2 linked regions of the Cricetulus griseus genome follow. The protein of the gene in region 1 interacts with the protein of each later gene in a biochemical or structural test. Links are inferred from orthologs where the notes say so. Each region holds a gene or a part of one and is shown in the gene's direction. Other genes may lie near its edges. The genes, in order: Anxa1 and S100a11.

Evidence for each region.
Region 2: the proteins of Anxa1 (region 1) and S100a11 form a complex in vitro, tested with the Homo sapiens proteins (2 studies listed by BioGRID). The link is inferred for Cricetulus griseus from reciprocal best matches to the Homo sapiens genes ANXA1 and S100A11.

What each region holds. Positions count from the first base shown.
Region 1 is NC_048596.1:40,890,990-40,894,808, forward strand, and holds part of Anxa1 (annexin A1), read left to right. Parts: intron 1-1,005; coding exon 1,006-1,085; intron 1,086-1,720; coding exon 1,721-1,777; intron 1,778-3,507; coding exon 3,508-3,601; intron 3,602-3,819. UniProt on the Homo sapiens protein: Plays important roles in the innate immune response as effector of glucocorticoid-mediated responses and regulator of the inflammatory process. Has anti-inflammatory activity.
Region 2 is NW_023276806.1:62,510,803-62,515,227, reverse strand, and holds the start of S100a11 (protein S100-A11), read left to right. Parts: upstream 1-1,506; 5' UTR 1,507-1,660; intron 1,661-4,425. UniProt on the Homo sapiens protein: Facilitates the differentiation and the cornification of keratinocytes.

The sequences.
Region 1 (3,819 bases):
AATATTAAATATTTCTGATCGGACCATTTTCCATTTATTTTTCTGATCTGTTGTTGGGAACCTTAGCTTTACCACTGAGGACATAAATGATCCAGTTCTTCTTTCTCTGTGCTTAGATAGATACTTGGCATAAAAGACTATCAGTGGCTCATTGGGCAGTGAGGCCTTCAGTCAAATGACTCAGTCCTTACTGCACAGGGGACAGCTCCACATCTCTGGTGATTTTCTAGTTCCTCTGAGCTATTGGCTTTCTGTTTTGTTAAACTAATATGTGAGCACATGAAACATCTTTGTGTCTGACCCTCTTACCAAGTACTCAGGGAACAACAACATTGCACATTGTTCTCACTTTAGTACATTAGTCAAAATATGACCACATTTTCTGTAATTCTTACCCCAGTGTCTTAGATCCATTTCCTGGTAATAATAATTCAAGAGAAATAATTGTTAATGTGTTAGATAAAATGCAGTTTACAAAGCCTTACATCCACATTTCTCTAAAATCCTGAAGATTTGGTCCAGAAATAGCTTAAGGTGCTGTTTTTGCTTTGTTTGTAAATTCAGTTATTTTTCCTACTAAAGCACCATATTTTATAGCCAAATGATGTCTGTAGACACAAGTTTTAAATAAATGAGCTCACATGCCATTGAACATATTATATATTGAATATTTATAATTTTAAGGTAAATAAATAGCCAGTGTTCAAGCAAGTAACATTTTTCAAATTTTCACATATTGTATTTCAAAATGATTTGGTAAAGTATTCATTCTTGTTAGCAAATATTTATTACTAACTTTTCATTTAGAGTATTATTCAGTTTTCTTCCATTGATCTATAAAAAATTATTTTATAGCCTAAAATTTCTGCTGCTCTAGTTTCTCCAGTTTCACAAAAATGTTTTGAGATAAGTTACATGAGTCATTCAATCTTGTAAACTATAAGCTAATGCAGACACCGTTGTTTTCCAATAGTTAACTGAAAAAATTATTTTCTCTTCTTGTAGAGCTAAAGAGAGATCTGGCCAAAGACATCACTTCGGATACTTCTGGAGACTTCCGGAAGGCCTTGCTTTCTCTTGCCAAGGTATGGGTTAAATGTCTTTGCTATTATAAATAATAAAACCTTAGAATTGTGAGCATTTTCTAGGAATGAGAATCTCTTTCCTTTAAAATTAATACTGCTTCATTGATGAATAATACTTGTAAGTATTTGAGGAAATAATGAGACATATATATATATATACGTATATATATATGATGTAAAATTAGCAATATAAAAACTTCATAATCTCACTTCCTACCACTTTTTCAGTGAGATGTTTGAAGTTTATTTTCTAGTCATTTAAAAACACTCACTGTGTTTTGATTATGTTCATCTTACTATGTTGTAATACCACAATGTACTCCTCTTATCTATTAGAGACTGTGTCCTTTTATCAGTATCCTCCAACCTTTTGTTCCCCATCCTACCATCTCTGGTCATCATCAATGTGTAGTCTGCATCTATGAATTCAGGTGTTTTAGGAAGCACATCTAAATGAATTCATACAAAGTTGCTTTGTTCTGTCTTGCTTCTGTTCCTCCCAGCAACTTTGCTGCAAATTATAGATATTGTTTTCACTGTTTTTCCTCAAAAGTTATGTCTTGTTTTAAGAGAATTAAGTGTATCTAGTGATTACATCCTACAGAAAATCTTAAAACATGTTGGGCATTTTTCAGGGTGACCGCTGTGAGGATTTGAGTGTGAATCAAGATTTGGCTGACACAGATGCCAGGGTAAGCAAAGGGGAGACATTATCAATGAAGCAAGTCTTCCTACCTTCTTGCTCCCACTATGTGGAAGCACATCTCAGGTCCTGTGAGAAGACAATTATTACTTAATGTTTATTTCATTAGAAACAGAGTCTTATATCCCTGGAATGGAAAATATAGTCTTTATGTTTCCAATTTATCTTATTGTTTAGAAAGCCAGAGATGACTGAAAGAACAATGAGATTCTGTCTCTTTCCCAAAACCTGTTGGGTGGAGAAAACCCCAAGTTTTGACTTAATAAGAAGATAGCTATATGTAAGCCCAACCCCTTTGTGCTATAAGTTGCCACAATTTGAGATCCTCTGTCCTCAGTATCTCAATTGCTGGCACTAGAGACATTCACCATCATGCCCAGCTGGGAAAGGAAATTTTTGCTGAGTAAAGTGAAATCAAGAAACACATTGAACATTATGTTTTAATAGAAATTGTGCAAACATATAAAAACAATAATTATGCATAATTGCCTACAATAAAATTATTCTTATCATGTCTATGCATTCTCTTTCCAGACTACTAGGGCTCCTTGATGTATATTTACAGAGACTACATGATTAGTATGACTCAGCATTACCAAAGCAAATTAAAGTTTGAGGTTATGGTGATGGTACATACCTTTAATATTAGCAACTTGGGAGGCAAAGGTGGTTGAATACTTTGAGTTCAAGGTCAGCCTGGTCTACAGAGCAAATTCTAGGACAGCCAATGCTACCAGAGAAATCCTGTCTGGAGAAACCAACAAATGTTTTAGAGTTAGTAGAAGATACTTATAACCAAAAGGTAGGGATTACTATCTTCGTTCATAAAGGAGGAATAACTGTATTTAAATTACTTCCTAAGATTATACAGCTTTCAAATTTCAGATTTGAAACTTGTGTACAGAAATAATAGCATCAAAATGGCATATCCTTCAGTAGCAAATAAATCTGAGGATATAGGAAGAAAATATAAGACCTAGGCAGTGATTAAATTTTTATGTATTAACTGGACAGTGGTAGCACTCACCTTTAGGCCCAGCACTCTGAAGGCAGAGGCAGGCAGATCTCTGTGAGTTCTAGGCCAGCCTGTTCTACAAAACTACACAGAGAAACCCTGTCTTAAAAGAACAAAAAAAATATTTATTGATATTTTTTGCTAATGGGCTTCATCCCAGGGATGCAAGGATGGTTCAACATACGAAAATTCATCAATGTAATCCACCATATAAACAAACTGAAAAAGAAAAACCACATCATCATCTCACTAGATGCCGAAAAAGTCTTTGACAAAATCCAACATCCCTTCATGATAAAGATCTTGGTGAGAACAGGAATAACAGGAACATATCTAAACACAATACACACCAAACCAATAGCCAACATCAAACTAAATGGAAACTCAAAGCTAATAATTTCTTTGAGCAATAAAAAGTAGAAAAAGGAAATCTGTTTTAATGAGTTCTTTGAGTTGTCTTTGTAAACAGAGTAATTTTAAAGCAAACAGATATCCCATATCTTCTGTTTATCATGTTTACAAAGCACTTTGAACTATACTGCTGACTTTATTGTCTTCACTTTCAAGAAGGGCCAACCCCAGGGATGCCTACTCTGATAGTATTAAGTACAACATAATTATTTATATAACCTTTGTTAAATATAATAATTTTTGTTTGTCATTTCAATGCATGGTCACATGTTTACTTATTCATTTCTTGATAGGCTTTGTATGAGGCTGGAGAGAGGAGAAAGGGGACAGATACGAATGTGTTCATTACAATTCTGACTACTAGAAGCAAATCTCATCTTCGCAAAGGTAACAAGAAGTTCGTTTTTCTGGAATATGTTTACGGAAGGTCCAAAGTTCCTTATGGAGGAGAAGTAAGAGGAAGGGAAGAAAGAGGTCTTTCCATATCAAATGGATGCAATAACACTCACTGTTATGTGCCCATTTGTCAGCTTTGAACTGCCACAGTCCACACTACTGAGAACACACTTTGTGACTTTGGCATGGACAACATCACTTATTTCCAC
Region 2 (4,425 bases), on another chromosome or scaffold:
GAACTGCACATCAGGAAAATGTGTTTTTATATTGATTAAATGTTTCTTTTTTTTTTATTGGAGGGCAAGGGTCCAGTTACAAAATAAAAGAAAAAAAGGGAGTGGGAATGTAAACTAGATCAGTGTGGTAGTATAATTATGGGTGGGTCCAAGTACAATAAAGCTGACATTACAAGGGCTTTGATTTAAAAAAAAATGTGTAAGAAAGACTTAAAAGAAAACACTGTGGTAGTGTTTTCAAGTAAGGAAAATGGAAAAATAGCCACATTGTTGGCAGAAATGGAGAAGTGAGGGTGGGGGGAGGGAAATCTAATTATTTCTTAAATTATTGAGGTTCAAACACAGGTGGGGCTTTCGAGTATGTTTCTTTTAGTTTGGATTTTAATTTTCTTTTGAGACAAGGACCTACTCTGTAACCTAGGTTGGTCTGGAACTCACTATGTAGCCCACAAGCTGCCCTCAGACTTTCAGCAGTTCTCCTGCCTCTGCCTTGCAAGTGCTGAGAATACAGGCAAGAGCCACCATGTCTGACTTGTTTAATGGGGTTCTAAACAAGGGCCAGAAGCTGTGAGGGTGAGTACAGATGAAACTGGAGAAGAGGATTTGGTCTCCTGTACCCAGGAGTCAATAGCAGAAGCTGGCAGTGAATAGACACTAGGGCATATTCACACAGAGCTCCATTTGCGTCTACGCTGCAGATTCTGGAGTCCCTGCAAAGACTTCACTCTGTGACAGTCCTAAAAGTTTACTAAATAGTAAAGATGACACGACTTGTTTCTAGATAAGGAAATGGAAGCTCAGAGGGGAGAGCAGTCTTGACAAAAGTACTGCAGTGGCGTTATGGACCGAAGATTAGAAGCCAGATGTGCTTCACTCAATCCCCAACTTCACTGAAATGCCGGCAGGCAAATGCCTCACTAGCCCAGGCCAATGTTTAGCTGTAATAGTTTGGTTATTTTCATTTTTCTGTTTTGTTAACTGCCATTTTAAAGCCTGAGAGCCCAATGAAAATTATCTCTAGACAATAATCATCAATATTCTGCTGGCAATAACCATTACAGTCAGGTAGGCCAGGAGGTGCATACCTGTAAATCCAGCACTTGGGAAGCCGTGGTAGGAGGGTCCTAAGTTCGAGGCCAGCCCTTGCTACACAAAGTCAAAATCAATCTCAGCTACATAGGAAGACCTTGTCTCAAAAAAAAAAAAAAAAATTAAAACCACCACTGTTCATTAAATATCTTCAGTGTAATAGAATAGACAGCCCGGATCCTAGAGCCCTCCTTGACAACTATGATCCATTCTTCTTTTTAACGGAACCATTCAGCTTATCTAACCTGAAGTGCAAATGGTCCCAGACCGGAAATGAGCTAGGCATATGGACAGACTTTCCCCAAAGCCAACGATCTTTGAGATTCACAGGAGAGAGGGAGAGAGGCCTGTTGAGTGTCAGGGAGGACAACTGGTGTGTTGTGTGCCTGTGCGTGAATCTAGGCAAAGCGAGTTCGAACGCAGTGGGACAGGCCTAGGCCTGCAGAGGGGAGGGGTGGGGGAGGGCCCGGCCTGAGTCAGTCTGAGGGGCGGGACCCGGACCCTGATCGCCACTCCTGTCCCTGCTGTCATCAGCCACAGTCACCGCTCGACTTTGCTCCTCACCAATTTGGTAAGTCTAACTTATAAAGATTTTTTTTTCTTCCGTTTCAATGAAAAGAACAAAGGGCAAAGCTACGCGTGCTCTCGGCCGGGTGTATCTGAGACTAAGTGTGGACGTGGCAGAAAACAGATCAGGAAGAAGAAACCGTGTGGGAGGCAATTAGAGAAGAGCGGAGGGCACCGCGAAGCCCTAAAATTACACCCTAATGACAGCCTGGAGGAAGAAACGGGGACTTTTGTTCACCTAGGCAAGATGCAGGGTAGGGCTGGGTGCGGCCGCCGGACTGGCCTCGGAGCCCGGGCTGGGTGTGGCCCCCGGGGTCGCTGAGACTTGCGCCCCTGTACCCAGTGGGCGGCGGGGACTTCGGCCGAGCCACCTATTCCGGGAAGGCAGGGCACTCCGCCGGAGAGCTGGAGATCTGGGAGAAGTTCTGGCGGCGGCGTCAGGCGTTCGTGCAGATCAGAAAGTGAGCAGTTCAGAACTTATTCTTATTCCCGAGTTCTCATTCCTGAGTTCTGGGGAATCAGCTGCGGAAGCCGCGGGCAAGGGGCCAAGGAACACATACGTGCACCGAAACTGCAGCCTGTTGCAGCTGCCCGCGGAACCGCCGGCAAGAATGTGGGAGGAGGCCAGTCCCTCCCAGCCCGCTCCTTTCCTCTTCCCCTTACTCACCCCCCCCCCCCGCCATCTTTTTAGCCACTCCCGGCATCACCTGCCTGTCTCCTCGTTTGTCTGTCTGACTTTTCCACTAATTCACCCGTAAAGTCTACTTCCCTTTGTCTCTGCAATGAAGAAGCTCAGCAAACTTTGGAGAGTGGTCCTAGTCCCAAACTAAGCATAGATTTTGGTTTTTAAATGGTTGGAAGACGAAAGGCAAATGATCCCTTGTGATACATGAAAATCAAATGTATAAATTTTATAGGCACTCCACACCCTTTCACTTTTTGTATTTTGTTACTCTTGGTGCTGGGCTACAGTGAATGACAGGACCTTATGGAGCATAAAGAGCTCAAAGTAGTCACAGCTGCCCCTTTATTTTAAAAGAAAAAAGTTTGCAGACCCCTGCTTTGGCGTGCCAATCTCTTATTTTCCTTCTTCCCCTTTTCGTCACACAGGGTGCCTTGGGTCCAGCACCCACGGGTTGAGAGGTGGAGGAAGAGTGTTGGCTTTGGTTAAGAACGAAAGAGTTAACTGGTGTGGTTACCTTTTTCCCATATCCCCATCACAGGGAGGCTTTCCTGCAATGTTGAATGTTTAGGGTGCATTTAAAAATTCTTTGACTGTGTCCTTCCATCGCGTGTTTCCCTCCTTGCAGTCACTGGTCCCATCATGTAAAACGGTGGTGTGGTGAGGGCCCTTTCTTTCAGCCACTGCTACACAGGGGCAAAACCTTCCCACCCTAGCAATACATTCTGCAAAATATGGGGGAAGGAAGCATCTGTAGGTGTGGAAAACACAGAGCTGGGCCCATCAGCCTGGAACCTTCTCCCCAGTCTAGTGTGTGCCCCAAGCCAAACTTCTGCGATCACATGACACACTAGTAATAAGGTATTGAGATTTTAGTTCTGATAGGAGGGGCATGTTGTGCAAGCACTTGTTTCTAGGCTGTGATGTTTTGTTTTGCTTTGTTTCTCTAGGCCTTGAACCTACCAACACTTTTATCTTCTTCAGTTAAAGCTTCCTGTCAGGCAGCTTAAGTCTCCAACATTGTGACTGTTTAAAAAGGATTTATCTCCAGAAGGTTCAGGTGAACATTCCTAGGTGCAGCGGGCTACAGCAGTGCAACTTTGAGGGTAAAGTGCCTAAAGACAGGAGGTGCTAGGAGCAGAAACCAGGGGCTACAGGCCGGCTAGCTTTTGTCATCTTTATCACACTGCCTGAAAGCTCCCAGATTTCATATCCAAGAAGCCCATCAGAGAGAAATCAAAGGCTAAATTCTAAGTTGCAATTGTTAACATCCATCCAAATCATAATTAATTAACATCAAGAAGGAAGCTTCAGGGTGTGGCCCAGCAGCTTCCAAGAAATCCTGCAATTGTGCACTCATCCACCAGGGGGAGCACAACAGTTCAATTCTGAGTTCTGGGCTCAGATTTTCCTGTGCAGTCCTGCACAGAATGAGTGGTGCAACCCAGTAAGATTTCCTTTAGGAATTCTGCTGTGAGAAAAGCAGAGTCCTGCACAGGATATGAACTGATGCTCTTTCTGGTGCAACCACATATTTGGTTCAGCTCTGTAATAAGAAATTCCAGCTACCATTCCTGTGGAAATGCGTGGCATTTGGATGAAACAAAGGCAGATGTCAACAGAAAGAAACCTGGGAGCCGAGAACCTGGGGGTAATCTGCCATGATAGTTACCCTCTTGTGCCTCAGTTCTGCACAACTAAGTTAATGGTATATAGTTGTCAGCTTCACACTCACACACACACACACACACAGAGAGAGAGAGAGAGAGAGAGAGAGAGAGAGAGAGAGAGAGAGAGAGAGAGAGAGAATTATTTGTGATTTTACTAGGTAGCCCAGGAACCCAAACTCTTGATCCTTCAAGCATATGTATCCTCACATGTAGTTGAATATACTTTGGCACATCTAAAATCCACCCCCTACCTGCCAGTGCACAATTACAGATATGCTGTTCATTTTCTTCAAAGAAATGCCTGGTTTCAAGAGTTTGGCATTAATTTAATGGCATCCTAATCATCACAGCAGCCTCTCCCTGCTCTTGGGGAATAGGTCACTGTTATTTTCCTCTAAAGTTCAGTGTGGGGGGCAG